Linked DNA regions of Diceros bicornis minor. The main gene of each other region encodes a partner of the protein of the gene in region 3 in a complex. Links are inferred from orthologs where the notes say so. Each region holds a gene or a part of one and is shown on either strand. Other genes may lie near its edges.

What was found.
Region 1: GTF2F2 (region 3) and GTF2E2 share a complex: the UniProt entries of both Homo sapiens proteins name them as parts of the TBP-based Pol II pre-initiation complex. The link is inferred for Diceros bicornis minor from reciprocal best matches to the Homo sapiens genes GTF2F2 and GTF2E2.
Region 2: GTF2F2 (region 3) and POLR2H share a complex: the UniProt entries of both Homo sapiens proteins name them as parts of the TBP-based Pol II pre-initiation complex. The link is inferred for Diceros bicornis minor from reciprocal best matches to the Homo sapiens genes GTF2F2 and POLR2H.

The regions. Positions count from the first base shown.
Region 1 is NC_080768.1:28,323,732-28,334,065, forward strand, and holds the start of GTF2E2 (transcription initiation factor IIE subunit beta), read right to left. Parts: upstream 5,179-10,334; 5' UTR 5,007-5,178; intron 2,047-5,006; 5' UTR 2,043-2,046; coding exon 1,877-2,042; intron 1-1,876. UniProt on the Homo sapiens protein: Recruits TFIIH to the initiation complex and stimulates the RNA polymerase II C-terminal domain kinase and DNA-dependent ATPase activities of TFIIH. Both TFIIH and TFIIE are required for promoter clearance by RNA polymerase.
Region 2 is NC_080754.1:39,334,213-39,344,979, reverse strand, and holds POLR2H (DNA-directed RNA polymerases I, II, and III subunit RPABC3), read left to right. Parts: upstream 1-6,674; 5' UTR 6,675-6,796; coding exon 6,797-6,869; intron 6,870-7,841; coding exon 7,842-7,925; intron 7,926-8,008; coding exon 8,009-8,102; intron 8,103-9,111; coding exon 9,112-9,195; intron 9,196-10,132; coding exon 10,133-10,250; 3' UTR 10,251-10,501; downstream 10,502-10,767. UniProt on the Homo sapiens protein: DNA-dependent RNA polymerase catalyzes the transcription of DNA into RNA using the four ribonucleoside triphosphates as substrates.
Region 3 is NC_080748.1:31,593,253-31,604,512, forward strand, and holds the start of GTF2F2 (general transcription factor IIF subunit 2), read right to left. Parts: upstream 4,417-11,260; 5' UTR 4,201-4,416; coding exon 4,135-4,200; intron 1-4,134. UniProt on the Homo sapiens protein: TFIIF is a general transcription initiation factor that binds to RNA polymerase II and helps to recruit it to the initiation complex in collaboration with TFIIB.

The DNA.
Region 1 (10,334 bases), on a different chromosome or scaffold from region 3:
ACCCGTTCATTAATGAAAAGAGTTAATATTGTTAAGGTACCAATTCTCCCCAAATTGATTTACAGAGTTAATGCAATCCCTATCAAAATTGCAACTGGCTCTTTTACAGATATGAATTGATGAGCTCATTCTAAAATTTATATGGAAATGCAAAGGATTCAGGAAAAACCAAAACACTCTTGAAAGACAAGAATAAAACTGAAAGACTTCCCAATTCACTTCCCAATTTCAAAACTTAACTACAGCGCTACAGCAATCAAGAGAGTAAGGTACTGGCATAATTATGGACAGACATATCAGTCAATCGAACCAAACTGAGATTCTAGAAATATATTCTTTCACTTATAGTCAACTGATATTCGCCAAGGGTGCCAAAGCAAGTCAATGGGGAAAAGACAGTCTTTTCAAGAAATGGCACAAGAACAAATGAATAACCACAGGCAAAAAGATGAATTTAGACCCTTATGTTAAACCATACACAAAAAATCAACTCAAACATATCATAGACCTAAATGTAAGAGCTAAAACTATAAAACTCTTCAAAGAAATAGGAGTAAATTTTCATGACCTCGGGTTAGGCAAAGATTTCTTAGATATGACACCAAGAACACAAATGATATTGGATCAAGAACTTGTATCCAGAATATGTAAAGAACTCTTACAAATCAATAGGAAGAAGACAATCCAATTTTTTTAAATGGGCAAAAAATGTGAATAGACATTTTCCAAAGAAGACACATGAATGGTCAATAAGCACATGAAATAATGTTCAACATCATTAGTCATTAGGGAACTGCATACTAAAACCACAATGATACCACTTCACGTCCACTAGAATGGTTACGATCAAAAAGACAAGGAATAAGAAGTCCTGGCAAGAAAGAGAAAAAATGGAACTATCATGCATTGATAGTGAGAATGTAAACTGGTACAGCCATAAATTTAAACATAAATTTACCATATGACCCAGAAATTTCACTCTTAGGTCTCCATCCAAGAGAGAAAAAAACATATTCACACGTGACTTGTACATGAATGTTCATAGGAGCACTACTCGTAATAGCCAAAAAGTGGAAATAATCCAAATGTCCCTTAACTGGTGAATCGATAAACAAATTGTGGTATATCCGTACAATAGAATACTCTTCAGCAATAAAATGGAATTAAGTACTGATATATGCTACAACATGGATGAATCCTGGACAAAATATCAGCAAACTGAATCCCATTTGTATAACAATTATACACCATAACTAAGGAGGATTTATTCCAAGGATGCAAGGTTGGTTTAACATATGAAAATCAATTAATGTAATATACCATGTTAACAGAATAAAAAACAAGAATAACATGGTCATCTCAATAGATGCTAAGTAACAGAAGTCACAGACTAAAGACCACATAGTGTACAATTCCCTTTATATGAAACGGCCAGAAAAGGCAACAATATAGCAGAAAAGAAAGTAGATTACTGGTTATCTGGGGCAGGGGTGGGAACAAGGAGTGACTGAAAATGGACACAAGGGATCTCCTGGGGCTGATGGAAATGTTCTAAAATTGGATTATAGTAACAGTTGTACAACTCTGTAAATTTACTAAAAATCTTTGAGTTGTACACTTAAAACAAGTTAACTGTATGGTACATAAATTAAACCTCAATGAAGTTATTTTTTTTTAAAGATAACCTAAATTCTAACTACTACACAAGACTATTAACATCTTAAGAGCAAAAACTTGCCTTATCATTTCATCCCTTATACTTAACAAAATGCCTATCAATCAATGTGAATGTTGAACTGAAAAACGAACTTGCCACGACTAAATGGTTTAGTGAAAAATAAAAACTAAACAGTCCTAAATGGTCAATTTTACTAACCAGAATTTTGTTTAGAACCTGATGACCCTCCATGTTCTAGCTTTGCTTTCTTCTTCTTTGATGATGATGATGATGATTCAGAAGATACTGAACGTTTTTCTACTACAGGAGTGGAAAGAGCCCGTTTTTTGAACAGCTCCCGCTCTCTCAACAGGCTTGGATCCATAATGCTGCGAAGATAAAAATAATTATCTTTCATACAGATTCCAGTCACTCAAACCTATATGCCAAATCCATAGGTCTCAACAAGAGTTGCTTCCCAAACAAAATTATCTGTTATTACTAGTTATACAGCACTTGTATTTATTCACTTACTCATTCACTCAAAAAATCTTTAATTAGAGCCTATTATGTGCCAAGCACTTTACTAGGCACTAGTAAAGAGAAACAGAATTATTCTCTAAAGCTCGAGAACTGCACTGCCCAACATGGCAGTCAATGGCCACATGTGCCTATTAAGCACCTGAAATGGGGCTGGATTTGAGATGTACTCTAAGTGTAAAATACATCAGATTTAAAAGACTTAGTACAAAAAAAAGAACTTTTAAAATTACTAATGAGATATTTTAGACTGATTACATGCTGACATGATAATATTCTGAATATACCGGGTTAAATAAAACATTAATTTCCCCTAATTTTCTTATACTTTTAAAAGATATACGGCTACTAGAAAATTTTAAATTACGTGTGTGGCTCACACTTGCAGCTCGCGTTATGTTTCTATTGGACAACGCTGCTCTAGAAATAACATCAGGACTACCAGGCAGAAATTAGGAGGCAGATTTATACTCATTGCAAAAAAAAAAAAAAAAAAGAGAGTACCATCATAATTGCTTATAAATGACAAGGTGTATTTTAAAACTAGTGAACTCTCTATTGTTAAGTGATGAAGAGGCTGGACTAATATTTGTTAGAAATATCTACAGAAAATTCCCGATTTGGAGAGAGGTGGAGCTAGACCTCTTCGAGTTTTTTTCCCAGTTCTAAAACTCCAATTCTAAGCAACTTCAGCACAACCAGGGAAGCCACAGGTAATTTAACAAAAATTTTTTAATGTTCCTCTCTTGTCTGAACTCTCTCTAGAACCCTGTGGAGAGTCCAGGAAGTGTACAAGCTGACTATTTAAATTACATTTGCACTGTTAAAACTAGTGTTCATAAATTGGGAAGGAAGGTCCTAGAGGAAAAAGACTAATACTTTGAAAGCCTTCCAGCACAGGGTAGTTCAATATTTGTTAAATGAACAATGAACACAAAAACATCTTTAAATTGCTCTGGCCTCATTGTTATTGGTTTCACAAGCCTTTACAAAATGTCTTCTGTTTGTGAGGCACTGTACTCCAAGCTTTGAAAGGTTCTGGAAAATAAACCCTTGTCTTCAAGCAGCTTACATTTGAGAACACGAACACATTGAGCACCTCGCTTAAAAAGCATGGATAAATAAAATGTGACTTAGAGTGCCAAAAGTTAAAAACATAAGCACTGGTAAGAAATAATCAGAGTAAACTTCAGTTAAGTAAGGAAGAGTCACTGGCACTGGACCTCGAATGAAAGACCTGCCTTCTCCCCTCAGTTCTAACCCCAACAGCAACTGACCAAAGGCAATCCACTAGACCTCTCTAAATCCAATTTTTTTTATAAGTAAAGTGAGGATACTACCAATGCTGTCTACATTTAGCCCAACTGTAAGACTAAAACGAGAAAATGTTTGTGAAAGCAACTTTTTAAATAGTAAAGCTATACAAATACATGTTATTTCAATATTACTATTTTGAATTGCATCTGAAAAATAACAGAATGATATTATACTGGGGTGCCGACAGTAAGAGATGGGGGAGGGAAAGTGTGAGAATAAGAGAATTCACAAGTGATGAGGTGGGGGCAACAAGCCTAAAACAGGAAACATCTGTATCTGTTTATTTCACCTTGTAAAGACAGGTAATCGATCCAGGCTTTTAATCACGATTTTAACACATTTAAATAAGAGGCTTATGGTTCACAAAGATCTAAATCCTTACAGCATTTGATCCTCACAACTCTACGAGATAATAGGTACTAGTTTTATTCCTATTTTAATATGTGAAATCTGAAGTGAAGAGGTAAAGTTAAGGTCACAGAGCTGGAAGTACCTGGACCAAGACCCGAATATCCTGACTCGTAACTCAAGTGCTCCATACTCCAGACCTGAAATGCTGGTAAAGGGAAAGGCCTCTCCAACAAAGGCGACCTGTGCAGGACAGGTACCGTTGAATGGCACCCATCGCAGAAGGCTTCATGTCTGTCTGTCACCACCGCATGCTCCGCCTAACTTTTCCTCCTTTTTTCTCAGAAGACTACTCAGTATTCGTAGTGCTTTACATGCACTGACTTGTGTAGTAAACAGGCCACACCACTCTGCCAATTTACATTAAAAAAATACCACCGCCACAACTCAATGAGTGCACGTGTTCCTCCACGGATGCACATGGAGAAGCCAAAACTTACATCAGAATCTTCTGGCTCCGAAGCCCACGTTCTTTCCACTACATCATTCGAGTTCTTTCAACCTTCCTACTTTTCCTCTCTTTTGCTTCTTTCCCAGAGGGGCCCGTGGCACCTAAGACCCCTGCTATGAGCAGCTGGCCAGATGAGAAAAGAGACTGCTCACCTCCGAAATGACAGAAATGTAGCGGTAGACGCAACCTTTTTGTTTTAGAACACGTCTTTAGACCGCAGAAAACAACTATTATAACCAAAGTTTAGGAATCATTACAAGGCAGCTTTAAAAATATAGTCCGTGAAGGAGCATCTAAATCACAGCCTTGAGTTGGTGGGACACCGTGGTTCCCCACACTCCACACACAGGGTTCGCTCGGCTCCTGCTAATGTAAACTGAGGGCCAGGAAGAGGCACAGTCAGCTATCGGACTGTCGATTTCCCTCTTTCCAACCCAAAAGTTTGCTCCATGAATCTCCAGCCTAAAAGACAATGCTCCCAAGAAGTTGTTGCCGTGTGTAGGTGTTTCGCGTAGGGCACGGCGGCCCCAGCCTCCCGAGGGGTGGGAGAGACGCTCGCCCCGCGGGGGTCGGCGTCCCGAGGAACAACAGGCCGGGGCTCCGCGCCCCTCACCCGGCCGCCACAGCCCCTACCTGAGCCAGAAGGGCCGCCCCACGCGCCCCGCCGCCGCCTCCCCGCGCCTCCGCCCGGACCAGCCGCCCACGCCGGCTTGGCCACCGCTTCCTGCTCCTCGTCAGCGCCCCCGCCTGCCCGCACGCACGCCCAGCGCTGCCCCGCCAGCTCGGGGTCTCGGCACTGGCAGCGGCGGCGGCGGTGGCTGAGGCGGCGACTCGGCCCGGGGCTCCGCCCGCCACTTCCTGAGCAAGCTGCTAGGAGCTCAGTCCCGGCAGCCACCGCGACGCCTCCGCCGCCGAGAGCGCGCGTGCGTCATCACGTGCCCCGCTAGGGATACCGCGGGAGAGGGCTCAGCCAGCTGGGGCGTCCCGGGTCTCCTTGACAACGCGAAGGTGGCTGGGGGCGGGGCGGAGAGCCGGGCAGAGGTAGGAGGCGAGGAGCGGCCGCTAAGATGGAAGAAATCTTTCTTTTACAGAAATTTAGACCTACTAGATCCTCCTCCAGCGTGCTCTGGAATCTGTTTACCCAAGTAGCGACGCGATTTTTCAAGTTATTGTCTACCAGGTGTTTTGTGACATCAAATGCCACTCACCAGCACCTAAATTTCAAAGCACGTTGTTCCAGCGCTCTTTTACAAGTGAGAAAGCAGGAGGCCCCGTGAAGCTAAATGACTTGCTCGTGACAGCGTAGCTAGCGAAGACAAATCCTGACGTGAAGCCGTTTCTGAACTCCCAACCACACATCTGTGAACTCTCTTAGAAAAAGCATTTCGGGTTCAGAAGCAACGTAAAGGGGTAGAAATAAAGTGACGAAAAAGATAATTGGCCTTGCCACAGCCTGCAGTGAATTGGAGTGCGTCAGATTTCCCACGGCTGACCTTTCCTCACTTTTATAACTTAAAACAGCAGCATAGCCAATGCTCAACTATTCTGTAGCTGTCGTTTAATTAATTAGTGCTGATTACTCCTCAAGTTACTTAACCTGTGTCTTGGTTTTCTCATCTGGGAAGTTGGAATAATTGTACTATCACAGTGGGTTACTTGAATTGGACTGTTGTGAAGATTAAATGAGATAATAGATGAATTTTTATTCAAAACTTGGAAATAAAGCCAAAAGATGATTGATTGTGTGGCTTTTTAAAGTTAGTTTCATTCTAGGATTTTGTAATAAACCCACTTGATAATCATCTGACACCGTTAGGAAATTTAACTTCTTTTGAATAACAGTTTATTAAGGCCCAAATGTTTTACAGCCCACTATAATCAGAGATTAACTGGTAAAAAAAAAAAACTGATGAGGTGTAATGAGGAGAAGGAGCAGGAGCAGGTATCCAGTACAAAAAATAATCCCAAAGGTTAAAATTGCGTTGTCCTGAGAAATGAGTCAGTGTTGTATCAATTCATTAATTTTTATTTCATAGTTCCTTTCCTCAATGATTATATAAACTCCAGTTTCTCATATCCTCATGGAATTAGTTCTATCATTCTGCTGGCTCCCTTATTAATGAGTGAGAGACTTAATATACAAATAGACAATGGCTAGATTATATGTGATGATAAAACTCTGACCCACATAAGAAACCAAGACACAACCTCTGCAGCAATCAGCTCAGAATGGTCAGGATTTGCTCAAAGGCTGCCAACTTCCCTATTTTAGCCCCCACCCCCCAACACATACACCCCCCCCACAAGATCACCAGAGAAAAACAAATACACTCCCCAAACCAATCACACAGATGCCCCACTTCTAGTTACTCCACCTCCAGCTTCCTCTGCCAACAACCTTTAATCAGAACGTACCAGAAGCATCCTTTTTTTTTAGTCTATAAAACTTCCCAGTTCCCTGATTGAGTTTGAGTTTCTGCCAAACACAAGTAATGGTGGCTGACTCCCTTGCTATAGCAAGCTCTGTAGTCTCTATTCTCATTTGAGTGGTCTTCATTTATTTCCATTTGTGTTAAATAAAACTTTAACACATGCTCATTTCCTAGTCACTTGAGAATTATGAGTTTCACAATTAGAGAATCAGGCTTTTGCAGAACTAGATCTACCACATGGAAAGCACTTAATGAACTGTTAAAAAAACAGAGGTACATTAAAATTTTGAATATCTTATTTGAGAAAACATCAGTTCAAATTGGGGAAGCCCAAAACCAAAAATGTTTAGGAGCTCTCCACTGACAGGAGCTAGGGGAGAGGTTTTTATAGAGAAGACTCCGAAGCAAATCAAAGAAAGTCTTTGATTGGCTGTAGCTTAAGTCATGGCCTTATTTGGGAAAGCCTAGTTGGCTGTTTGTAATTAGTTGTTCTTAAGTTTCGTTTCCTTCGCTTCTGGTCTATTGACTCTGGCATAGGTTTCAGTTTGTTTATGTAGGCTACCAAGGCACTAGAGCCATCTCAGTCTAATGGATTCATTGTTTACTTTTAAAGAATGCTCATAATTATTCTTTTATTTCAATGGCTTGTCTCATTTCAGCCAGTTGGGACAGATATTGAACACAGCTAAGCCTTCTAATGCCAATATTAGAATATGTTATTCATAATCCAAACCCCCATCTCAGTTGCCCATCCTTTACCCAAATCTTAGCTGTTATTACTATCATTGCCAAACTTGAAACCCTCCCATACACGTGCTAGCAAACCATTAAAGTATATAGACGTTGAATGTTGTCAACCACTGAAATCACTCCTGTTCACAGTGCCTATGGCCTGTGACTAAGTCCTAACACTAAAAGCAATGACTGCATTCATTCAAAACACTTTTGGGTGATAGCCTGTACTCTGAAGGTACTCCTCAACTGAAGACAAAAGTGGGCTCCGTATATCGCCATAATCAGGCCATTTTTGTGTCAGAGGTACTTACACATGGACACCACACTAATGAACTAAAAAAGGATTCTCTTTGTCTGCTGACAATGTTGACTACGACAATGACCAACTTGACCATTTCCAAATGTCAGCCCAAATTAGCTTGATTTCAGAGAATTCAAGATTGGGGTTAAACATATGGATTTTTATTCTGCCTTCTCATCCTTGTTACACAATAAAGACATCATCTGGGGGTCGGCCCGTGGCGCAAGCGGTTAAGTGTGCGCGCTCCACTGGGATGGCCTGGGGTTCACCGGTTCGGATCCCAGGTGCGCACAGACGCACCGCTTGACAAGCCATGCTGTGGCGGCGTCCCATGTAAAGTGGAGGAAGATGGGCACGGATGTTAGCCCAGGGCCAGTCTTCCTCAGCAAAAAGAGGAGAATTGGCAGATGTTAGCTCAGGGCCAATCTTCCTCACAAAAAAAAAAAAAGACATCATCTGGATTGCGTCTGAGGCAGCCTCTAGCTAGGGCTTAGGGAAAGCATAGGAAAAATATCCCACTCGGAGGTGAGGGACATGGCTATTTGTGTAATATACACAAAGTCTCCACCATTGATGCTTAAATAAACCTTTATAATAATTAAAACCACCTACATATTTGCAGCCTCAGTATTTCTAGGTCAGAAGGGTGTGGCTAGCATGAAATTATATAAAGAATGATTCAAGCTACTAATGCAATAGCAATCTGTCTTGTCGCATGAATGCTTATAATATCCTGCATACTCTTTGGTAGAAAGTAATGTGGCTTCTTCAGGGAAATATAATTTGTATATATTATAAAATATTCTTCTGTCCTGACCTATCCAAACCCTCCCACCTCAAAAAAAACAACTCAATGTAACCACAGGATTAATTCCAATTTAGTGGATTAATTTTTTTTACTGTTTTAATTGTGGTAAAATATATATAACATAAAATTTGCCATTTCAACCATTTTAAAGTGTACTACTCAGTGGCATTAATTACATTCACAATGTTGTACAATCATCACTATCTATTTCCAAAATTTTCATCACCCAAAACAGAAACTCTGCACCAATTAAGCAACAACTCTGCATTCCCACCTCCTCCCCCCAGCCCCTGGTAACTTCTAATCTTCTTTCTATCTCTAGGAATTTGCCTTAATTCTAGATATTTTATATAAGTAGAATAATACAATATTTGTCTTTTTGTGTCAGGCTTATTTCACTTGACATGATGTTTTCAAAGTTCATCCATGTTGAAGCATGTATCAGAACTTCCTTCTTTTTTACGTAGTGGCTTAATTTTACATTTTAATTTTTTACATTATGTAGTAGTTTTAAAGAGGAAAATTGAGGTAAGATAAAAAAATTTACTTCATTCTGCCATCAAATAGTAAGTGCCTTTCAACTCGCCTTACCTGTTAATCCATCTCAACTAACTAAATAGGTACCTAAATCTCAAAATAGCTGACGAGGCAAATTAGCTCACATCCGCACAAATCAAGAACTAAAGTAAGTACTTTGTTCATCATCTGTCCTGGATTTCTCTAGCATTAACAGTCTCTGCTCCCTTAGAGACTTTTCCCCTGCCTTCTGACTCAGCCTGCCTAATCCTGAAAATATCTTCCCAGGACCCTGCTTCCTTCTCAAGCATTCATCCCGTAAGGGAGGAAAAAAATATTTTTTGCCTCTACTCGTTTTAGGTTCTCAGGCTGGGGCCCTATAATTAAACTAGCAAAAGACAGATTATCAAGAGAAAAACAAGCAGAAGTTTATTAACATATGCATCACACACACACACACACACACACACACACACCGGAGTATCTAGTGATGAGTAACTCAAAGGGCTGATGAGAACTTGGGCTTATATAACATATTGACAAAAGAACGATAAATTTATAGAGAAGTGACAAGACTTTGAGTGAAAAGGACTTTGAGTTTCTAGGATGGTAAATTGTGCAAAGGCAACTATATGAAGAAACTAATGGAAGATAAGGGCTGGGTAGTAAAGTTTGTCATGTAGATTCCTCTGGTACCATCTTCGGGCTGATAAGGGTCTCAAGTTGTCTCCAGTGATTAACTTTTATCCTTCCTGGTAAAGAGAAGAGGGCAGACACCTTTACAAATTTATGTCCTACTTTCAGGCAAACGGGGAGGATGGAAAGCTTTTCTTGTATCTGCTTCTTCTCAGTTGCCTTCAGTTCAAAATAACCCTTATGCCGAGGTGGCGTATTTCGTGGTGGCATGTTCTGCTACCCTACCATCCTCTCTATCTCAAACTTTCTCCAAAAAGCAAACATTTGCTATTGCTTCCACTTAGTAACTTTCAATCTTCAGGGGTTATAATACTGGCCTCGGAACCAGACAGCACTGGCCTGAATCTCTGCTCCGCCATTTACTAGTTGTATGACCCCGAGCCAGTATTTAATCTCTCTAAACCTGAGTTTCCTCATCTAAAATGGAGCAGATTGTCTTAGTCCGTTCAGACTGCTATAACAAATTACCAAAG
Region 2 (10,767 bases), on a different chromosome or scaffold from region 3:
CAACTGAGAAAGCTGTGCTTTAGAGATTAAAAAATCTCCCCCATCTCCATGCTTCATGGGGTGGGTAGAAACTAAGGCTCAAACACTCTCCAGGGGGCACTGCCCTCTGGGCTAGGCTGAGGGCCTAAGGAAGCCTCAGTCTTTGATCCAAAATGCTCTCTTCCATTGACAAAAAATTCAAAAGTGCCCATTTTCAGATAATTCATATAAAAGCCAAAATGTTCAAGCAGCCTGGAAAACACCACTGGCTGATTTTCTCTTTTTGACTGGGCCATTATTTGCCATCTCACCTGTCACTGGCCCCCCCACCCCACTGTGACCCTCACAGAACCCCAAGTGGCCTAGAGAGGAGCCCAGAACCAACTCACTTCTTCATGAGGAAGCGGTTGATGGTTTTCTGCTTCCGCATCACCTGAACAATCTTGCGGTTCAGGTAGACAAAGAGCGCTCCCCCGAAGCCACTAGCAATACTGGAGAGGGAAGAAGCCCCAGGGTAAAAGGAGGTCTTCCCTCTTTTCCCTCCTCCTCTCCGACACACCCAGCTCCCTCAGCTCCTCACCCAATGACAGCAAAGGCAGGCAGCTCCTGGAGGTCAAAGGGGAAGTCGAGCCGGAATCGGGTTTTGAAGAGAGCTGTAATGGTCTCTGAAGGGATGGCAGAGTAGCAGAGGGAGGCAGGTGTAGCACCGAGGACCCCCACCCGAGCCATCTCAGGGGCTCCCCTCATCTCCCAGATCCCCCCCACCTTCATCACGGTTCCAGACTGCCAAGACCCGGAAGATGAAGGCACTGAAGGTGGCAGCAAAGAAGCCCCGCCAGTAGTTCCGCACAGCGAAGAAGGTGGAGGTGACCTCAATGCTGAACAGGACGCCTGGGAGGGGGCAGGGGAGGGCGCCACGTGAGGCCTGGGCTGGGCCTAGGGACACAGACCCAGACAAGAGGGGCAAAGGAGGTGAGGCCAAGGGCAGGGCTAGGGGGCCGGAAGGACTGCTGACCTCCAATAGGTGCGGCAAAGCAGCAGCCCACTCCCACAGCACAGGCAGCGGCCAGCATCTCTGTTTTCCGGGATTCATTCTGACAGGAGTGGTGGAAAGAGGAGTCAGCATGGGCTCAGCAGCCCACCCCTCCCCTCTGCCGTCCCCCAGGGTCCCCCTTACCTCATAGATGCCCCCAAAGAGGGAGAGGAACTTGCTGAGCAGGGCGGCACACAAACTTGCAATATGCACAAAAGGGCCCTGTGGGGTGGGGGCAGGCGGTGAGTGGGGAAGGGTGCCTCCTGACCTTGGCCTGGCTTCTTCCTCCACTGGAAGGGACTCCTTCATTCCCCAACAGGCAGTTACCTCTTTGCCGAGGGGCATCCCACTTCCCAGGGCACAGGTCAGCCCGATGACCTTAGCTACAAAGGTCTTGAGAGTGAGGTATTCTTTCAGCACCACTCCCCGCAAGATGGTCTTCATCTCGGGGATGCCGGACCCTGGAGAGGGCACAGTCCCAGGAGAGTCATCCAATGTGCCTGTTTCAGGAGGTCCCACCTTTGCCCTCCCCTGCTCTCCTATTGTACCGACAGCCTGAGGAGCCAGGATCTGTGTGAAGCCGGCTGAGAAAGTGATGAGGACGATGGGGTAAGTGACCCAGGCCAGGTACTGGAGCAAGAGGTTGGTGTTCAAGCCCCGGGACATCCACTGCTGAGCTGTGGGGAGGAGACGTGCTGCTGGCCCCCGATGCGCACACCCAGTCCCCGCCTGGCCACTGGGACATACCAATATAACAAGCTGCCCCAGGGAATATCGCAGAGAGCCCGAGGACAAGGGGTAGGGAGGGGGCCCTGGAGGGCATTCACTGGGACAAAGATCACCATAGGTAACAGAGTCAGATGGAGAGCGGGGGCAAGAAGTTGTAGCCTAGGTGAGTGGCAGTGAGCATGACTGAAGATGGGGCAGTCAGGCCGGGGAAAGTGGTCAGTGGCCAAGTAGCCAAGAAACTTGGACAAGTGTGGCATGGAGGAAGCAGGTTGGCTCTTCCCAGCCCGCCCCCTGCCAGCCCTTGTCCTTACCCTGCAGACAGGCAGCGATGGCATAGTCCATGGCCCAGCTGACCAGCGCCATGAGGAGCCCCAGCAGGACCAGGAAGATCCAGTCTTCACCAACCCTGGACACTAGGAACTTATGGCAGTGTACAGAACAGACTGGAAGCAGGGAATGGAAGAAGGGGGAGGCTGGCACAAAAGTGCTTTTACCCTATCCCCCCTCCACCCCCCAAAGGGCAGCTCTAATGGCCTCTGTCCCCCTCAGCACGGTACAGCCAGGTCCCCCGCCCCAACCCAGATCTCACTGTGGCATCGGGTGCAGCGGCTCTGTCTGTATTCCAGGAGCTCCGGGGGAGTCCGAGGGGAAGGCGGACCCCTCCAGGGCTCCGGCCCTCCCAGGCGGATCCGAGCAGCTTCCTCTTTGGCAAAGGCCCCCAGCTCCTGAGTATAGCGGCCATACATCTGAGCAATAGGGAAGGTGGGGGTTAGCAGATGTGGGCTGAGTGGTAATGCAGGGAGGGCCCCTGGGGCCTCAACTCCCTTTCTCCCAGTCCCCACATTATATACCCCTCCTGAACCCACAGTTCCCACTTTGGCTTGGGGTGTGGGAACAATGCACATTGCAGACTGTGGGGGCTGTCCTGGCTGGAGTGATGGGGACAGCCAAGGTACAGGGACACAGCTCTGGGGGTGGCAGAATAATCAGTCCTCTTCTCATAGGCCTGGGGGGGAGCACTGAGGAGGAGTGGGAGGCAAGGCCCTAGAGGAGGAAAAGATGGAAAAACCTAAGGCAGTCTGAGAGTGGGAGGAGGGAAGGTCAGAGAAGAAGGGATGGTCAAGGGCGTATGGGTAACAATAAGGGCCTCATGGAGCTGGGGGCAGCTGAGTTGGGCCTAGGAGCAGGCGGGGCCCCAATCCTTATCACGTTCCTGCTGGGCCTCTGGCCTGTGACCGACTCAGCTGCACCCATCCCGCCCAACCTAATCCCCTTGTCCCCATTCTCCACCCCCACCCCCCACCAGCCTGCCAGCCCAGCTGGGAGTGGAAAGTCTCTCTGAGTAGGTGGAGAGAGCTCAGTGGCCTTGACCCCACTCTGGAGCTGCCCTGAGTCCAGTGGTGGGTTGGGGGACAGCAGAAGCTGATGGTTGGGCTGTGACTGTGGATGCTGGGGTGATGGGATTAGACCTGCCAAGCTGGGCGTGTGTTGGGGGGTGGGGAGGAGTAGATTCCGGCTGCCACCCGCAGAGCTTCGGGACACAAAGGGCTCCTGTTGGGGCTGGGGTTGTGGGGGGGGAGGGAAAGATAGAGACAGAGAGAGAGTGATAGAGAGCGAGGAAGGGAGGAAAGAGAACATAGGAGAAAGAGGGGGAAAGGAGAGGCCAAGGGAAGGGGCAGAGGAGAGAGAGAAGGAGAGGGGAAGAAGGGAGGAGGAAAAGAGGAGAGAGTAGAGTATAAAGAGGTAGACACACTGTAGGAGGTGGGAGGTGAGTGTGTGAGAGAAAGACAAAGGGATGGGAAGGAGCAGGGGGAGAGGCTGGAGCAGAGAGTGCCTAGGAGAGAGCTTGACCCTGAGAACTCAGTTCAGACATACAGACCAGGCGAAGGAGATGGAGATGTGGCTGCGCAACAGATGGATACCATTTCAGTGGCCAGGTGCCTGGCTTCCTTGACCAATGCCCCATTCTCAGCCTGGGCAGACTGACAGACACCTCCCACCCCTTGCGAACGCTTGCCCCTCTACCCTTGCTCCACCTCCACCTCTGCCACCTCTTCCTGTCATCCTGTTTCATCCAGTCACTCTCTGGTAACTGGGCACCTGCCAGCCTCAGTTAAAGCCCAGGCCCCATCCTCCTGGAGAGGTTTCCTCCCTGCCTTCTTCCTGGGCAAATTCCAACCCAAGCTGGTAAAAAAGAAGCCACAGGGCCCACTCCTTTCCCTAGAGATTGGGTCTCCCACCCCAGCGACATAGGAAGGTGCAAAAGTCTTCTCAAACACTAAGTTACAGCGATGGCCATGAGTCAGCTCAGAGCCCCAGGACCCCTGCTTCTAATAAGGTCAAGGGACACCCCTGGGATAGGTGGGGGCTGGATACCCAGTCAGCATGGACAAAGGTCCCAATTCCCACACCCATTCCTGCTTGACCCATCCTCCCTAAAGCTCTCTTCCTCCACGGGGCAAGCCACCTTTTTTCCAGAGAAAAAAGGGGTTCCTGTCAATGCTGGGTTGCCAGCCCCCAGGGGTAAGGGCTGGGGCCAGGTTAGGGTCTGATGATCTTTCTACACACTCATTTCTGTGTCTAGCACCGTGCCATGCACATAGTGGGGACAGAGGGAATGGAGAAAGGAGTGTAGAGAGAGAATGTTCAAGGGTGTGAGCGGCGCTGGGGAGGGGTACTGGGGTGCTGAGACTTGGGCCCAGGTAGTGAGGGGAAGGAGCAAAGAAAACGTGGGCGGGGGGTAAAGAGAAGGACACCTGGGACAAGCCCCTGATATCCTTGTCCCCTGCAGGCCCCCAGCCTCAGCCAGAAACCTGAATGCAGCTTTCCACTCCTTAGCCCTCCAGCCTCTCTGGCCCTCGAGCTTCAGTTTCTCCAGCTCAGAAGGCTGGGGTGAGGTTAGGGTAGGACCGCAGTCCTCGCGCTTCCAAGGGTAACCAGGAGCAGCGGTTCCGGAGCGCACTCCTCAGGGCTCGGCTCGGCTTCACTTACCAGGGTCTGCTGGTAGTGCAGCGCCCGCGGCTCCATCCCTTCCGCCGCCGCTGCCGCCGCCGGCGCCGCCATCTCCGCGCACAGCCCTCTGGCCTCCCGCGGCGGCTCGGGCTCCGGCCCGGACTCGGCTCCCGGCCCGCAGAGCCCGCGCCGGTACCCGTCCCGTCCCCGCAGCCCGGGAGGCCGAGCGCAGAGCGCCGCGGGCCCCAGGCGGGCGCTGCTGGCGCAGCCACCCGCTCGCGTCCCGTCCCAGGCGGGCGGGCCGAGGGCGGTGCCCTCCGTGCTGCTCCGCCCGCCGGCCCATTCACAGGGGCCGGCCCAGCCGGGCCGGGGTCTGCGATAGGGCCGCCTCCCAGGCACCGGAGAGGCGGCAGGGGGCGCTTGGAACGGGCGAGTCCTGGGGCCCTCTCCGCGGAGGCCGGGGGCTGAGAGGGGCGCCCGGGACCGGAGCGGGGGCGGGCCGGCTGGCACGTGGAGGGGCCGGGCGGGGTCTGCGGCTCCCGGCGCCCGGGCGGGAGGGGCTGGAGACGCCGGGGCTCAGGAGGGTCTGCGGCCAGGGTCTGCAGAGCCGTCTAAATCAGACTCTTCGGGCCCAATCTCTCTCTCAGGAGTGGCGCCCTCTCTAGCTTCTCTGGAGGGGCCAGCGGCTCAGAGGGGCCTGGCAAGACCCCTCTGCTCCCATGGGGGTGAGAAGCAAAGCTGGGGGTACTCGGAGGGGGACGCCAGGCCCAGAAAGGGGGGCGATGCTCAGAACTGAGACCCTCGGTCTCTCTCATCCGCTCCCTTCCTCCTTCCCTTCTTCTCTGTTCTTCCAGGGAGGTGCACCTGGAGCAATCTCGCCTGCCGGCTGTGCGGGGGTGGAGGTGGGGAGGGAACGCGAAGGGGTGAGGCCCGAGGGAAGGGAGGTCTAGGTGCGAGGAGGCCGCTCCTGGGAGGCGGGCGTGGGGGGACAGAGGTCGCTTTTCCCTGGCAGGGACCAAGGAGAAACCCGAGTAGCTGCTGACGTCTCGCCACCATGGGGGAAAGGCCTGCTGGGGCTCTGCGTTCTCTATCAGGGTCCGGAGAAGGACAGAGCAGAGAGCAGAGTGAGCACAGAGTGGGCAGTGCCCAGGAAGGGGGCAGTGTGAGAGGAGCCAGCACCCAAGGGGAAGGGGCAATGTAAGGGAAGAGCTGGTATCCGTGGGAGAGGACAGTGCCAGGATGAAAGGGCACGTAGGAGATCAGTGTCCACAGGGACAGTGCAGTGGTGGCGGAATGGGCAGCACCAAGATGAAGGGGCAGTGCTCAGGAGGAGGGCAGTGTGATGTGGCTAACGCCAGGCTAAAAGGGCGGCGTGGGGGAAGGAAGCAGTGGCGGGGAGTGTGCAGTACCAGGGGAGGGGACAGTGCAGGCTTTTCTCTTCGCCATAGTGACATCATGGCAAATTCCCAAACTGGGTGGACCTGGCTCGGGTGACATCCAGCAGAGCCGAGCTGGGCCGGGCCGGCCTGGCGGGGCCTCGGTGCCAGCTGGAGGAGCTGGGTACAGCCCCCTGCCGGGCCCGCGCTCTGGAGGCGTGGTTCTGCTCCGCCTGCCCTCGGCGCGGACTGTGCCCTCGGCAGGCGGGCGGACCGGCAGGGTAGGGCTAGGGCCAGGCTTCTCTGGGCCAAGGATCAAGGTCCCTGGCTGGGGTAGGCCCGCACGCATTCCAGTCTTCCGGGGCACTCCGAAGAGGGCGCAGTAGAGCCTCAGCAGCCAGCGAGAACCGGCGCCACCTCGGCGGAAGGTGGGACCCGTTGTGTCCCCGCCCTGGGGCGGAGTTATCTGGACCTGGGACCCGACCTCAACGCCGAAGCCTCTCGGAAGCAATCGTTCGGGGAGGACGTTAAGAAGCCCCGAGAGCAAGGCGGCGGAAGTGGCTTCATCCCCGTACGTCCGTGCGCATGCGTTATTCTTTTCCTTTGCCGCCGCTCTGTGGGCGCTACCTTTTCCGTCTCCGCTTGTATTCTCCACGCGAGGGGGTGTGTGTACACCTAGTCGTGGTCGCGCCCTCAGCCTCTCTCCTATTCTTGTGGCTCGCTCACCATGGCGGGCATCCTGTTTGAGGATATTTTTGATGTGAAAGATATTGACCCGGAGGGCAAGAAGTTTGACCGAGGTAAGCAAGGTTTGTAGGGGCAGTTTGGGGTAAGGGGCCAATCTCCTCCTCGGGGACACGCCCCTGGGCCCCTTGTCCACCCAGCTCACGTGGCCTGCTCCTACCGGCAGGTCCTGATGTAGGGACCTCCCTGAGGAAACATTTTATGGACGAGAAAACGGAGACTCCTAGCTCTCCCTGGCTTCACACACGCTGTGCCGGGTGCCTGGGGGGCCCTTTCTCACGGTGCTAGTAAACTCGGGGCATCTTTCTAATCACTCCCCACTCTGTACTAGGCGCTGTACTGTGCACCTTACACACTCTTTTGTCTTACTTATGCCTTTCAAGAGTCTCCATGAGGTAGACGGTGTCTTACCCATTTTGCTCAGAGAGGTTAAGTAACCCACCCAAGGCTGCACAGCGAGTAATGCGACTTCAGAGCCTGTATTCTTGTATTGCCCTTAGAATCTTTAGCTCTTTGTGAACTCCTCTGTGAGTTAGAGTTGACTGCTTGATATGCACCTCTTTATTCTGTCATTGATCAATAATTGTTTCTCCTTGGCGTCTCTTCCTTTGCCTGGAGACTGAGATGTTTTTCAAGAAAAACACTAGTTCTTACATGTGTCGATAATCCCCTCAGCACGGCGCCTGGCACAGAAAGATGAAACCTCTGGATGAATGAATAACTTGCCCTAAGTCAGGTTGTTTCTTAATCACTTAGGTAGGCCTAGAACCTGGATATTACTTGTTGCCAGAGGACCTTTGATTCTTTTCCAAGGATTCTGTCCACCTGCCATGGTTTTTCTCCCCTTTCCTTCTTGCATATCTGGTTCTGATTGAGCCTGCGCTCTTATGAGAGCAGACGAGAGGCCAGTGGATGCAGACTGGGTTCGACTGAGTGTTTTATTGCATACAGTCCCCCAAAGTGGGATCTGCAGGATCTGCCTCGGGCCAGGCAGTTACCTCTGTCACTCTTTCTCTACTTCCCTCCAGTGTCTCGACTGCATTGTGAGAGTGAATCTTTCAAGATGGACCTCATCTTAGATGTGAACATTCAGATTTACCCTGTAGACTTGGGTAAGTGTTGAACACAGACAGTAGCAGGAGGCTTTTTGCCATTTTGGCTGTTCTTCACCCTCAGATATTGCTGTTATTCTCAGGTGACAAGTTCCGGTTGGTCATAGCCAGTACCTTGTATGAAGATGGCACCCTGGATGATGGTGAATACAATCCCACCGATGACAGGCCTTCCAGGTGAGGGAGTGGAGAAAGGAGTACCTGAAATATGCCTGAGGACTGGGGCCGGCCCGGTGGCATAGCAGTTAAGTTCCCGTGCTCCGCTGCGGCGGCCCGGGGTTCGCAGGTTCGGATCCCAGGCGCGGACAGACGTACTGCTGTCAGGCTGTGCTGTGGCGGCGTCCCATATGAAGTAGAGGAAGATGGGCACGGATGTGAGCCCAGGGCCAGTCTTCCTCAGCAAAAAGAGGAGGATTAGCAACAGATGTTAGCTCAGAGTTAAACTTCCTCACAAAAAAAAAAAAGAAATATGCCTGAGAACTAAGTAGATAAGGCCTGTATAGAAAGACCCGTATTTAATTCATGGACTAAATGATTATCAGCAGAATCTGAGTAACCCTAAGGAAATTGGTGCACTGAAGAATTCAGACAACCAGGTGTTTATCCAGAGCAGTGATTACATGCTTGTGAGTTGTAGCTTTTTGGTGGCTGAGGAAATGACCACTGAGTGACCTGGGCTGTGTGGGCCTTGAATCTTGGGAGGGAATTTGGTGTGACGGAAAGGCTTTTGGAGCCCCACTGAGTTCAGATCTCAGCCCTACCACTTATTTACTGAATAACCTCCATGTCTTTCAGCCTCAGTTTCCTCATCAGTAAAATACAGATGGTCATACCTAGCTCACGGGGTTGCTGTGAGGACTAAATGAGCTCGTGTTTGGAAGGTGCCTGCTGTTACAATGCTGGCACTTAGTTCAGTTACCATTTTTAAAGGGCCTTTTATTATTAACTACTTTTTTTTTAGGTGAGGAAGATTGGCCCTTAGCTAACACCTGTGCCCATCCTCTATTTTGTGTGTGGGACACCGCCACAGCAGGGCTTGATGAGTGGTGTTGGTTTGAGCCAGGGATCTGAACCTGTGATCCCCTGGCCGCCAAAGCGGAGCGCGCCGAACTTAACCACTGCACCACTGGGCTGGCCCCCGTTGTTAACTACTTTTAAGAATAACTTTGCCACTGTTGTTCCGCAGGGCTGACCAATTTGAGTATGTAATGTATGGGAAAGTGTACAGAATTGAGGGAGATGAAACTTCTACTGAAGCGGCAACACGTCTGTAAGTTCCGTGGTCTCGTGAAAACCCTTCCCTCCGCCCTGTTCTGAGAATTTGGGCTATGCTCTGAAAATTCAGGCCATGCTCATGCTTCCTGTGTTGGGTCCCTCTCCCCAAGCACCTCAGACCTAGGCGAGACCCAGAAAGAAACTGTTCTGGGAGCAGTTTCCAGTCTGAAATGTAGGCTGCTCACTTAGCCCTTTGTTAGGACCCCAGGGCCCGGTGGTCCATATGGAAACTGGTCATCTGGCTGTGTGAAGTGCAAGGGAAGATTGCTTCCCCAGGAACAAAATGCAGCATTAAGTGATTAAACTGCCAGTCTTTTTTGTTTTTGTTTATTTGTGTGTGTTTTGCTACTCTGCAACCCGATCCCTCTTTCTTTGCTTTCCCTTCCCAGCTATTTTTTCTTTTCTTTAAAATCTTATTAAAACAATATGTGTACTTTGTAAGAAATCTGAAAAGCGGAGAAGTACTGTGAAGAAGGAAAAAAGGTCACCTATAATTCCATACCCAGAGGGAACCTTTTACGTAAACATTTTTGAATATTCTAGGTTTTTTTCCCTGTGTACTTTTTTCTTTGAGATCATATTGTTTATTACAGTGTTTTCTTCTGCTCTTTTTGCTTAAAGTTATGTAAAAATGTTTCCCCATGTCAGTTTAAGGCTTTCTCTAAACATTTTAATAGCTGCATAACATTCTAGTAAATGGATGTATCTTAATGGATTTGACCATTTCCCATATTCTGGGCATGTAGTATTTTCCACCTTTGCTAGTGTAGAGAACACTGCCTTGCACATACCTGTGCATTTATCTTTGTCTGAATTTTGGTTCCTAATGACAAAGGACTAGAAGGTGCCTCTTTTTCTTAGGCTGGGGTGGAGAGCTGCTGAGTAGCAGCTGCTCCAGAGCTCAGATTCATGGGATGGGTCTTCTGTTTCAGCTCTGCCTATGTGTCCTATGGGGGCCTGCTCATGAGGCTGCAGGGTGATGCCAACAACCTGCATGGATTTGAAGTGGATTCCAGAGTGTATCTGCTGATGAAAAAACTGGCCTTCTGAACCATCCCGGAAGCCAACCTTGCTGCTTAGTCTCTCAGGCCACAGACAGTCGTTCAAGCCTGAGTGGAGTTGCTGTTGTTCACCTGTTCGGGAGGTGCTGGCTTTCTGTCCACTGTGGCTGCATCTTTAGGTGGTCTGGACTCAATGGGAAACTGACTAACCTGTAAAAGACCCAGTGGGAGAGCTTAAAATGAATCAGAAGTTGTTTTGTGTATGTGATTTTTTTAAATTAAACTTTACTTTTTCAGACACCCTTGCCCTTTTTAAAAAAAATTTTTCCATTTACTTTAAAACCATTTTTCCTGTTCTCCTATGGTATATTATGTTTCTGGTCCACAGCCAGATGATGACATGTCAGTGTAGGATCTAGCCCAGCCTTTTGGTATTTGGGTTCAGGGTTATCTTAGTCTCCTGGCTGACTCTCCCCTACATTTACCTTCCAATGGGATTTTTCTGTCTGGGAGAGAGAGTGTTGTGTTTTTGGCTCCTGAGGGCACCCCAGGCCCGGAAGATACCA
Region 3 (11,260 bases):
CCCCGCTAAGCCTCAATTTTATCATCTGAAAAATAAAGATAATTAGTACCTATGAAGTAGGTACTAATTTGTACAATACTGCATACATAAGAAATGTAAGTTCCTTTTTCCCCTACTATCTGCAAGGCTTTGAGATATCACCCACTCTAGTTTCATCTCTCCCTGGTATATAGCTTTCTCTATAGCTTTCTCTTTGACTGTCAATGTCCAACTGCTTACCTGTCTGTGAAAAAAAAAGCTGAGCCTGTTGGCATTTGAGTTGAATAAAAGACACAGCATTCAGAGGGGATGATGTCCATCCCTCCTTTCCTGATCCTCTCCTCTCACAAACATTAGTCAGCATGCTTACAAGAGGGTTGAGCGGACTAGAAACACATCTTTTTGCTGGCTAGAAAGCTGTTGGTTAGACCTACCACAGCTCTTGTCAGTACCTCCACCTGTCCATTCCCAGAAAAGAAATAACATTTCTTATAATTCAGGCCCCAGGATGATACTCACGATTTACAAAAATCCCACGGCTCCTAACAACCTTGGCAGCTTTATCTCTTCCTCTTCCCCATCATGTACCTCCGCCAACCTTAACTAGAGACAATCATTTTACCAGAAGTCTAAATATTGGAAGCCAAACAACAGAACTATGCTAAAATATTTTTAAACATCACCAATTTTTAAATCATGATTTAGTATAGGCTGTGTAGTAGCAGTGTGACCAATTGGCAACCTAACACTGGCACCAAGTGACCAATAGGAATAGGGTAATGCAAACTACAAGGGACGAGCTCCCTAACAAGGTTAAAATTGTGACTGTATGTTTTGGCAGATGACATCTATCGTAAAGTCAAATCCAATCACGTCTATTACCTATCAAAACTTGTTCGGATCATCATTCTGTTGTAGATTTAAGACATTCCAAACCTGAACACACTCTAGTTCTCCCCGGCCCTGCTGGGAAGTTTTTTCTAACTAATCAACTCTATAGGCTCTTCTTAAATGTCACCTTCCCCATGAAGTCTTTCCTGTTGCAGCTAGCCAATTTTTTTCCTGTCCAAAACTCTCAGAGATCTTATATGTATAGCTCTTACTGTATTTATTCTGTTCTATACCTGTTTAGTGATGGAATTAATAAAATATGCACAAGATGGCCCATAAACTTTGAAATACTCTAGCAAGAAACTCATATATTTTGCGACAATCCTCAAAGATCAGAACTCAAGGTATTATTTGTAATGAGAAATATTAATGTATAGAGAAAAGACTCGAAACTGGTATGTAGTTCTATTCACAAACTCTGATTGGATAAGAATGAAGACACTTTCTAAGCAACATGTTATATTTTAATATCACACAAAAAAAGCTGAAAATGAGCCTGACCATTAAGATTTGATTCACTCATATAATTTATTCCTGCAATTCAGAGATGAAAATCCAAGTATGCTCAAGATATGGGCATGAAAATCACATTGGATGCTAACCCTAGCGCAAATGAAACAAGTTCAAACTATCTGACAAATGTGCAAATCAAACTCCATTTTATTTATTTATTTTGTGTGTGTGTGAGGAAGATCAGCCCTGAGCTAACATCCGATGCCAATCTTCCTCTTTTTGCTGAGGAAGATTGGCCCTGGGCTAACATCCGTGCCCCTCTTCCTCTACTTTATATGGGACGCAGCAACAGCACAGCTTGATAAGCGGTGCGTCAGTGCGCGCCCAGGAGCGGAACCTGCGAACCCCGGGCCCCCAAAGCTGAGCACACGCACTTAACCACTGAGCCACCAGGCTGGCCCCTGGGACTCCTTTAACTAGAGCAGAAATAAAAGTTGTCAAATAAAGGAGGAACATGAATGGATTTTAGAACAGAAAGTATTTGTTAGCAATCCTCGTCCTTGTCAGATGACAAGAACTGGCAAGAAAGTCTTTTTGCACCCCAGAGAGATGTATTGGCAAGCCTGTTATTTTCTTTGATACATAACATTAGACAAAGAAGAAACACTGTATGCCAAGTTGATATGAGGAAACAATGACAATGCAAACAATAAATAATCAAAACATTACAACTACCTTTAGAAAACGAGAACAAATCATTGGCTTCACTTGAGTTCTTTTTAAAGATTTTATTTATTTATTTTCTCCCCAAAGCCCCAGTAGATAGTTGTATGTCATAGCTGCACATCCTTCTAGTTGCTGTATGTGGGACACGGCCTCAGCATGGCCGGAGAAGCGGTGCCTCGGTGCGCACCAGGGATCCGAACCCGGGCCACCAGCAGCGGAGTGCTCGCACTTAACCGCTAAGCCACGGGGCCGGCCCCTTGAGTTCTTTTTAAAGAGAGAAAATGTATTCAAATGGCCATATATGAGAGCCCTAAAATTTTTTAACTTCTTCATTTTAGATTCATTACATTCTTTCACATTCTCATTTAGTCAACAAATCCTGACAACTTTCACTGAAAAAGTTTCCCTCCTCAGACTTCATTACCATACACCCATGATCCTGTGATAATTTTCTAATTTTGACTCTGGTTATCTTCCCCTCAAGTTTTTTTTTTTTTCCCTGAAAAAATCATTTGCACCCCTGCCTTACTCAAAATCCTCCAAAAGGTTCCTTACTTCCTGCAGACTAAGGTTAAGACATCCTCATTTCACGATATGACAATGAGTATATGGTCCCAACCTTTTTCACACAGACCCTCTGCTCTAAGCATAATAATCTGTTTTCCAGGACATACCATGTTAATGTGCATTTTCAGTCTTGCATTTCTGTTCCACTCTCTATGGTACACTATGCTATGCCTCTGTCTACCCATCCAAAACCTGTAAGGCAAACGTTTATTGAGCATCTACAATGCTCCAAGCACAAATGCATCGTCTCAAATTCCACCATTTTTTCAAGCTCGCTCTTTCAGTCTGCAAGGGAGATCTCCTTAACGATTCTCCTCCATTTAGCATGCAGTAGGAGAGAGAAAGGCTCATTTACTCCATCCTTTTAAGTCATATTCATATAGCTGGGATAAGTCAAATGAGTGCCCGAGACTAAGGTTAGGGATGAAGAATAAGAGAGTATTCATTCATTCATCACATATCTGTTGAGCAATTACCATGTGCCAGACACAATTCTGGGTGTGACAGGCAAGGATCCTATTCTCATGGAAGGTGACTGTGGGTGGGTGGGTGCGTGTGTGCGCACGCGCAAGCGCTGGGGAGAAGGAAGTAACCAACACCGAACACATGAACATAGAATCACTGTATGATAAGCGCTTTGAAGAATATAATACAGGTTTGACATGCTAGTGAATGATTATAAGGGAGCTATTTATAGAGGTGGATAGGAAAGGCCTCTCAGATTTAATTGATGAAAACTCAGCCGTGTGGTAAAAGTTTTTAAAAAAATTAACAAACCAAAGGTCCCTACATTCTGCTTGAGGTTCAAAGACTGTCATAATCACATTTTGAACATACATATGTCTTATGAAACTCCCCTAAGAGATAACACTCCCCAATATGAAAAAGTAAAGCACAAATACTGTGCTAAGGACTAATCAAGATTGCTGTTTTTACAAAAAAACTTTTATTGACGGCCAGTGTCACGAGACCCAGTCGTGCCCTAAAAGAACACTCCAGTCCAATGGCCTCTCCTTCCGCGAGTTCAGAGCTATCTCGCTCTCCTGAGAACTCCATTAAGGGCCATCAACCAAAGGAAACACTTTAAGGGTACGCAGGAACCAGTTCTACTTTCTGACCGAGAAAACTGTACAGAAAGCAGACCCTCAACTTCCTCCTACAGACTCACGACTAAAATCAGTTTCACCAAGACAAGATGCAGAAATTCTTCAGTGTGGGGTAAAATGCACCGCTCAAGTCGGGGGACACCAAGACAGGGGCCCAGCAAAATCAGGTCGTGGGGAAAAGAGATCCATTCCAGGCAAGTCCGGACTCTTAACTGAGTAAAGACACTATGTGTCCTAAACTAATTTTCTCGTCTTCTAACGAACATAACAGTAAGTTCTGCCTCTCAAGTTATGTGAAGCTCTAACGAGATGGCAGTAAAGAGCTTTAAAAGGCGCACGGAATGGGACGGTCTCAAGTCACTTAAACTATTTATACTAGGAGGAGTGCAAGCGGAACCCGCGCGAACATTACCTTGACCAGCCACACTCCGGTGTTCTGTTTGGCGCCGGTCAGGTCGAGTTCCCCGCGCTCGGCCATGGGTCTGTCGCCGGTGGAGGCGTCCGGGCCACAGCAGCTGCCCAGGGAGCTGAGGGGCTGCGGAGTTAGGGACTGGAGCACAAGACAAGCCGCGGCCGGAGGCAGACTTGGAAGACTCGGCGTCCACCTGCCAGGACGCTGGGAACCTGGGGAACAAGGAACACGCCGCTGGGAGCCGGGAACTGCGCCTGCGCACTGCCACTGTCAGTACGGCGCGCTAGTGCGGACAAACTTCCTGGTTTGGCAACTTCTCCAGTAGGCGTGGCTACTAGCGCAGGCTGTGTCTCAGTGATTAAAACATAGGGTGGCATGGGCCAAAACGTCACCAATACGTTTAAAGACTAGGTCGACTTAACTGAAGAAAAAAAGTATCAAAACAGAAAAATGGGATTCAAAGAGACAAAGGCTGTCAGTATAAGTCCAACTCTGGCCAAGGAGAGGAAACAGCATTAGGAGGACAATGTCAGAGTAATAAATAGAGGAAGTGAATTAGCAGAAGTGAGGGCTGGGATTAGACTGAATAGCCCTGGGTATATGGAAAACAAGCTCTTTCTAGACCTGAAAAAAAAGCAATGTCTCAACTGAGAGGCTACTCTGAACACCTCTGATTAAGCAAGCAGACCACACCCCCTTTCAGACTCCAAAACCAGGAGTCCATATTATTAGGGCAGTGACAATGGACATATAAGAGACAAAGCTGACTGTCAGACTCCGCTGCTTAAATAGTTTCCTCTCTCTCTTCTTAGTTCTAGAATAAAATTCAATTCTCTCTACCCAGGCCCTCTCAATTTGATCCCTGCCACTCAATGCTGCACACATCCAACAACGCGGAACCCATCAGAACACTCTGAAGGAAGCCGGGTACCTGAGGGTTACTGTAAATGTTCAATAAGATTACCTTTTGACCTTGTTCCCAACACAGACATAGATGAAAAGAACTTAATCTTGTCAATTTGCTGTTTTCTTGTTTTACCTGAGGGGTTATTCAGGGGTCACAAGGATTTATGAGCTTGTTTTGCAGAAGAAAAAGAATGCTTTCAAGGATCAACAGATAACCAGCCCCCAGCTCCTGTGGACGCTCAGGAGTCAGATTGCCCAGGGGCTTTATTAGGTGTGAAAGAAACAGGGATTACCCTTTGTTTCTCCAAAACTCCCCCTGCCAAGCCCCTTAGCTCTATAAAACCCCCTGCTTTCTTCTCTTGTTAAAGTGGATTTGAGCGCTGGCCCGGTGGCTTAGCGGTTAAGTGTGCACATCTGCTACTGGTGGCCTGGCTTCAGATCCCGGCGACGCAGAACACACCACTTGTTTGGCCATGCTGAGGCCGTGTCCCACATACAGCAACTAGCAGGATGTGCAAGTGTAACATACAACTATCTATTGGGGCTTTGGTGGATTTGAGAGAACCTATCCTCCCACCTTCTCATTTTGGCCACTTTGAATAAATCTTTTTCCATCTCCAAGCACGATGTCTCAGTGATTGGCTTATTGCACATCCGGCACACAAATTTGAGATTAAGAGGGTCAGTATCATGAACACATCAGAATCTTCCTCAGTTATTTCAGAACCTCTGCCCTGAGCCTCAATTTCCTTTACTCAGATGCCCTATTCTTCTCTTACCCTCACTCTCTCCCCTGTCCACTGATTGGCAAACTCCTACTTAGGTTTCAAGACTAATGGAAATGTCACTTCCTATGAGAAGTTTTATCAACTCCCACAGAGGAAGTTCATTTTTCTTCACATCACAGTGTGTGATACTTAGCACGCTGCACTATAATATACATGTTTACATGCTGCCTTTGCTTTCTAGCCTATGAGCTCCTGTAGGTGGAAATAGTGTTTTATTCACTTCATATCCACAACATCTAGCACAGTATTTGACACACTGTCAGATTTCAATAGGCTTTGGCTGAAGGAACACTCGCTGAAGAGAAACAGTAAGATATTGTAAGAATGACGAGTAATGTATTGAATCACACATCAAAGCCATGTATATAATTGAAGAAATTCCGTGTCTGTGCAGCACAGGGTCGGGAAAAGCCGTGAGGTTTCTGTGATCGCTAGGAAAACTGATAGGACAAATGAGAGACCAGGCACATGTTGAAAAGGAAGGTTGCATTCTTGTGTCGCAGTGTGGGAGAGGGCCTTAAAACATAGAAGGGACAAAAGAGCTACTTGAAGCTTTGATCAGATAGAAAGAATCAATTGAAATACAAGACCATGGGAGAAGTGAATTAACATAGCCTGGAGCACCATTGTAATGGACTTTAAAGGATTAAGACCTTGGCCTCTATCTGTGGGTCATGGGAAGCCTTAAAATGCAGGTGGGTGTGTGTGTGTGTGTGTGTGTGTGTGTGTGTTTACAGGGATTGGGGGAAAACAAATGGCTAAAGAAGAAGCAATGGCTAGAGAAGAGAGGAAAGAGTGAAGATTTAAAAATTATATAGGGAAGAAGGAAAAAAAAAGAAAAACTCTTGATTGAGCACCTTTTCCTCATACACTGTTAAACAAAGAACAAACTTCCCTTATTGGTCCTTTTCAAATCCTCTTCCAGATTGAGGAGGGATGTTTATGGAGCTGGAGAGAAAAGGAAGACATGGGCTCTGGCAGATTCACAGATATGCTCTGGAGACCAACAGGGTAACACATTGCAGGCAGATTCTTCACCCTCCTAAGGGCCTATTATATGCCAGACATCAATAATTTTGGCCTGATCCGACTGTATGTTCCTTCCACCATGATCCCACAACCTTAATATCCATTCTCATAAATTTGTGATTTCTGTTTGTATAAATTATAAAACTTAAGTAGTTCTTTTGGAGTATAGCACATCTCCTCATGGGTCACACTTTGTACCTCACCCTTGGGGCCTGCTGGAAATTGAGTCTAGTTATAGGTCTAGAAGCAAAAAGAGGTGGTGTGTGTGAGGAAGATCAGCCCTGAGCTAACATCTGTTGCCAATCCTCCTCTTTTTCGCTGAGGAAGACTGGCCCTAGGCTAACATCTGTGAGCATCTTCCTCTACTTTATATGGGACGCCACCACAGCATGACTTGACAAGTGGTGCGTCAGTGCTTGCCGGGATTGGAACCAGCAAACCCCCAGCCACTGCAGCACAACGCACACAGTTAACCCCTGCGCCACCGGGCCGGCCACAAGTGGTGGGTCTTGAGGAGAATTAGCATTGTCTTGCAAGGCAACTGCCTTAAAGGAAGCCATTACAGTGTCCTCAGACAGTGTAGGGTTAATGGTGGGGGCGGATTTAGGGGGGAAGAGTCAGTACCACTGGAGGTGGGATGGCTGCTTGCTTCTACTGGGGGTGGGGAGGCCACTTCCACTGGCAAAGAAGATTCATCAGAATTTAGGGTCTCAGCGTCCCCAGCTTTATCCGAGTCTTCCCACTTGTCCCCATTCCAACTTATAGAATCCCATTCTTTCCCAATCAGTGTTCTCTCCTTAACAGCAGACAACCTATGAGGCTGGGAGTTCAAATATTTGTTAGCTTTCCAAAAATGTTCAAAAGTATCATACACACAGTCACCTAGATCCTTGCTTCTTTTTTATTATTATTATTATTATTATTATTATTATTATTATTATTTTGTGTGTGTGAGGAGATCAGCCCTGTGCTAACGTCTGCCAATGCTCCTCTTTTCTTTCTTTTTTTTTTTTTTTGCTGAGGAAGACTGGCCCTGAGCTAGCATCCATGCCCATCTTCCTCCACTTTATATGGGACGCTGCCACAGCATGGCTTGACAAGCAGTGTGTCAGTGCGCACAAACCCCAGACTGCCGCAGCGAAGTGCGCACGCTCAACCGCTTGCACCACTGGGCCGGCCCCCTTGCTTCTTATAAGTGGTTGATTAGGTGTATGCAATGCAGATATTTTATGTGTTTCTATTGCCCAATCACATCAGGGACTATCAGTGCTCTCTTTACTACTGGAAATAGAGTCATTATCACCTTTAAATTGAATCAGATTAGAGAGCTAATTTCAGAAACACCAGAACCAATTTAGAAAACTCATCTTTATAGTTTTATTTATTTATTTTTTTTTCCCCCAAAGCCCCAGTAGATAGTTGCATGTCATAGCTGCACATCCTTCTAGTTGCTGTATGTGGGACGCGGCCTCAGCATGGCAGGAGAAGCGGTGCATTGGTGTGCGCCTGGGATCTGAACCCCGGGCCGCCAGCAGCGGAGCGCGCGCGCTTAACCGCTAAGCCATGGGGCCGGCCAGAAAACTCATCTTTAACATTCTGTTCCCCTAGAACAACTCTAGGTACCAAAATCTGTATTAGTCAGAGTTCTGTACACACACACACACACACACACACACATATAGAGAGAGAGAGAGAGAGAGATTTATTATAAGGAATTGGCTCATACAATTATGGGGCTGAGAAGCTCTAAGATATGCAACTGTCAAGCTGGAGACCCAGGAGAGCTTATGGCGTACTTCCAGTCTAAGTCCAAAGGCCTGAGAAGCAAGAGAACTGATGGTGTAAATTCCAGCCTGAGTCCTAGTCTGGAGGCAGGAGAAGATTGATGTCCCAGCTTGGAGACAGTTAGGTGGAGAGAGCAAATTCTCCCTTACTGAACCTTTTTTTTTTTTCTATTTAAGCCCTCAACAGATTGCATGAGGCCCACCCACACTGGGAAGAGCAATCTGCTTTACACAGTCTACTGACTCAAATGTTAATTCATCCAGAAACACCCTCACAGACACACACTGAGAACAATGTTTGACCAAATATTATTTGGGCAACTTGAGGCCCAGTCAAGTTGACACATAAAATTAACCATCACAGATGCAGAGGTCAGTGCCCAAAAATGTAACTCCAAAATTCTTTATTCTCCCAGATGATTGACTAGTCAAGTTCTTTTTTTTTTCTTTTTTTGTGAGGAAGATCAGCCCTGAGCTAACATCCATGCCAATCCTCCTCTTTTTTTGTTGAGGAAGACTGGCCCTGAGCTAACATCCATGCCGATCTTCCTCCACTTTATGTGGGATGCCGCCACAGCATGGCGTGACAAGCGGTGCATCGGTGCGTGCCCGGGATCCGAACCCAGGCTGCCAGCAGCAGAGCATGCACACTTAACCACTATGCCACGGGGCTGGCCCTTGACTAGTCAAGTTCTTATTCAGTGTGTTAAGGCATAAATGCAAGTCAAGGAGGGAGGGCTCAAGAACTCCCTACTGGCTGAGATTTGTCCAAGAAGTTTAGTAGTTCTTAGAACTACCTATGACTCCACCGTTAGTCCAGGGCTTAGATTCTGGTTCAGATCTCAAGGCAGCCCTACCTGCTTAATATGCAGAACTACATTCTCCTTTGTTGGTCTTCTAGACTAGCTGCAGCAGGAACAAATCCCCCCCAACAACCCCAAGTATCACCAAACATGCTTCATTCGAGATGAATGTTCTCAGCCTCTTGTTCCTAGACAACTTTATTAGGATCCTCTGAGGGCTGCACTAAAAACACTGACACCTGAGCCCCAATCCATGTGAACAAAATCAGAATTCTGCAAGTGGGTCTGGAAATTGACATTTTAGCAAGCTCCCTGGGTATTTCTTAGGCACACCAAAATCTGAGAATCATTGTTCTAATCCCACATTGATAGAGTTTATTAGAACTGGGCCAGACTCCAATGTCTGAGGCCCACAAGTTTACCAGAAATTTTTTTCTTTGTCATTTTTCTGACAGCTAGAATTCCCCCAAGCCTTGTAAATTGAGAACACCACAATTCTATCATGTAGCCATTAGACCATAAGCAGCAAAGTCATTAAAGGAGATGTTATAAGTGAGTTGAGGGAATTAGAATGATATTAACAGGTAGCTGAGTCCGCTCTCAGATTTTGTCCTTGGCTGTAACACACGAGTCCAGTGTCTCTCCAGGCCAAAGATTTTCTTTATTCGTGTGCACTCAGAAACATTCTAGCAACAGGAACTATTACCTCCAGGGATATTCACATAGGCAAAAAACACCACCACAAAGTCCTTCTTAATAAAGCAAACTTACTATTTATTAGTCACTAATTTAAGATTTTCATTCAAAAATTACAAATTAAGTAGATTAATTAGTGGTAATTAACTAGATTTCATCTACATTGGTGATGTCGTAAGTAGATAATTTTGCTTTGATAACACACCAAGGCTGTAACACCCCATCTCATTCTCCCTGCCTTCCCCTTCACTCCAACAGTTCTCTTTCACAGAGTAGTCACCTTCCCTGGGAGATTCCTTGTTTCCTCAGTCATATACAAACAAAAAAATACTCCCTAAAATAGTTTCCATATTGTTTAGTGTAGAGGGCATGAGCTTTGGAGTCCAACATATTTTCAAGTCACAGCTCTGCTGCATACTAGCCTAATTATTATTATTTGTGTGTGTGTGTGAGGAAGATCAGCCCTGAGCTAACATCCATGCCAATCCTCCTCTTTTTGCTGAGGAAGACTGGCCCTGGGCTAACATCCGTGCCCATCTTCCTCCACTTTATGTGGGATGCCGCCACAGCATGGCCTGACAAGCGAGCGGTGCATCGGTGCGCGCCTGGGATCCGAACCCCGGGCCGCCAGCAGCAGAGACCGCACACTTAACTGCTACGCCACGGGGCCGGCCCCTAGCCTAATTATTTTAACATCTCTGCACCTATTTCCTAGCTTATAAAATGGAATTATTATCCCTACCTCATAGAGTTCTTGCATGATTGAATGAGAAAACAAATCAAAAGGATGTAACACTATGATATGAAAATGATTTGGTAACTGCATTAATTACATTGGGTCAAATAATTGAAAGGAAGTACAAAAGATTTATTATAGTTAGTGAAGTGCTGGTAAATGTCTTAACAACTGGCTTTCCCACCCACCCATCTGCCCAAAAAAAAAGCCCTGCTTTGTAGTGTTTGCCAATTCCTGTGGTATAAGTACTCCTACGATGGCCCATTTCAACATATCATACCAACATGACATCACTGAATGCGGAGTTGGAAGAAATGCATAGTAACACACCATTGCATAGTAATTTTACCATATGGATACATTAGACTTAAATAACTTCAAGAG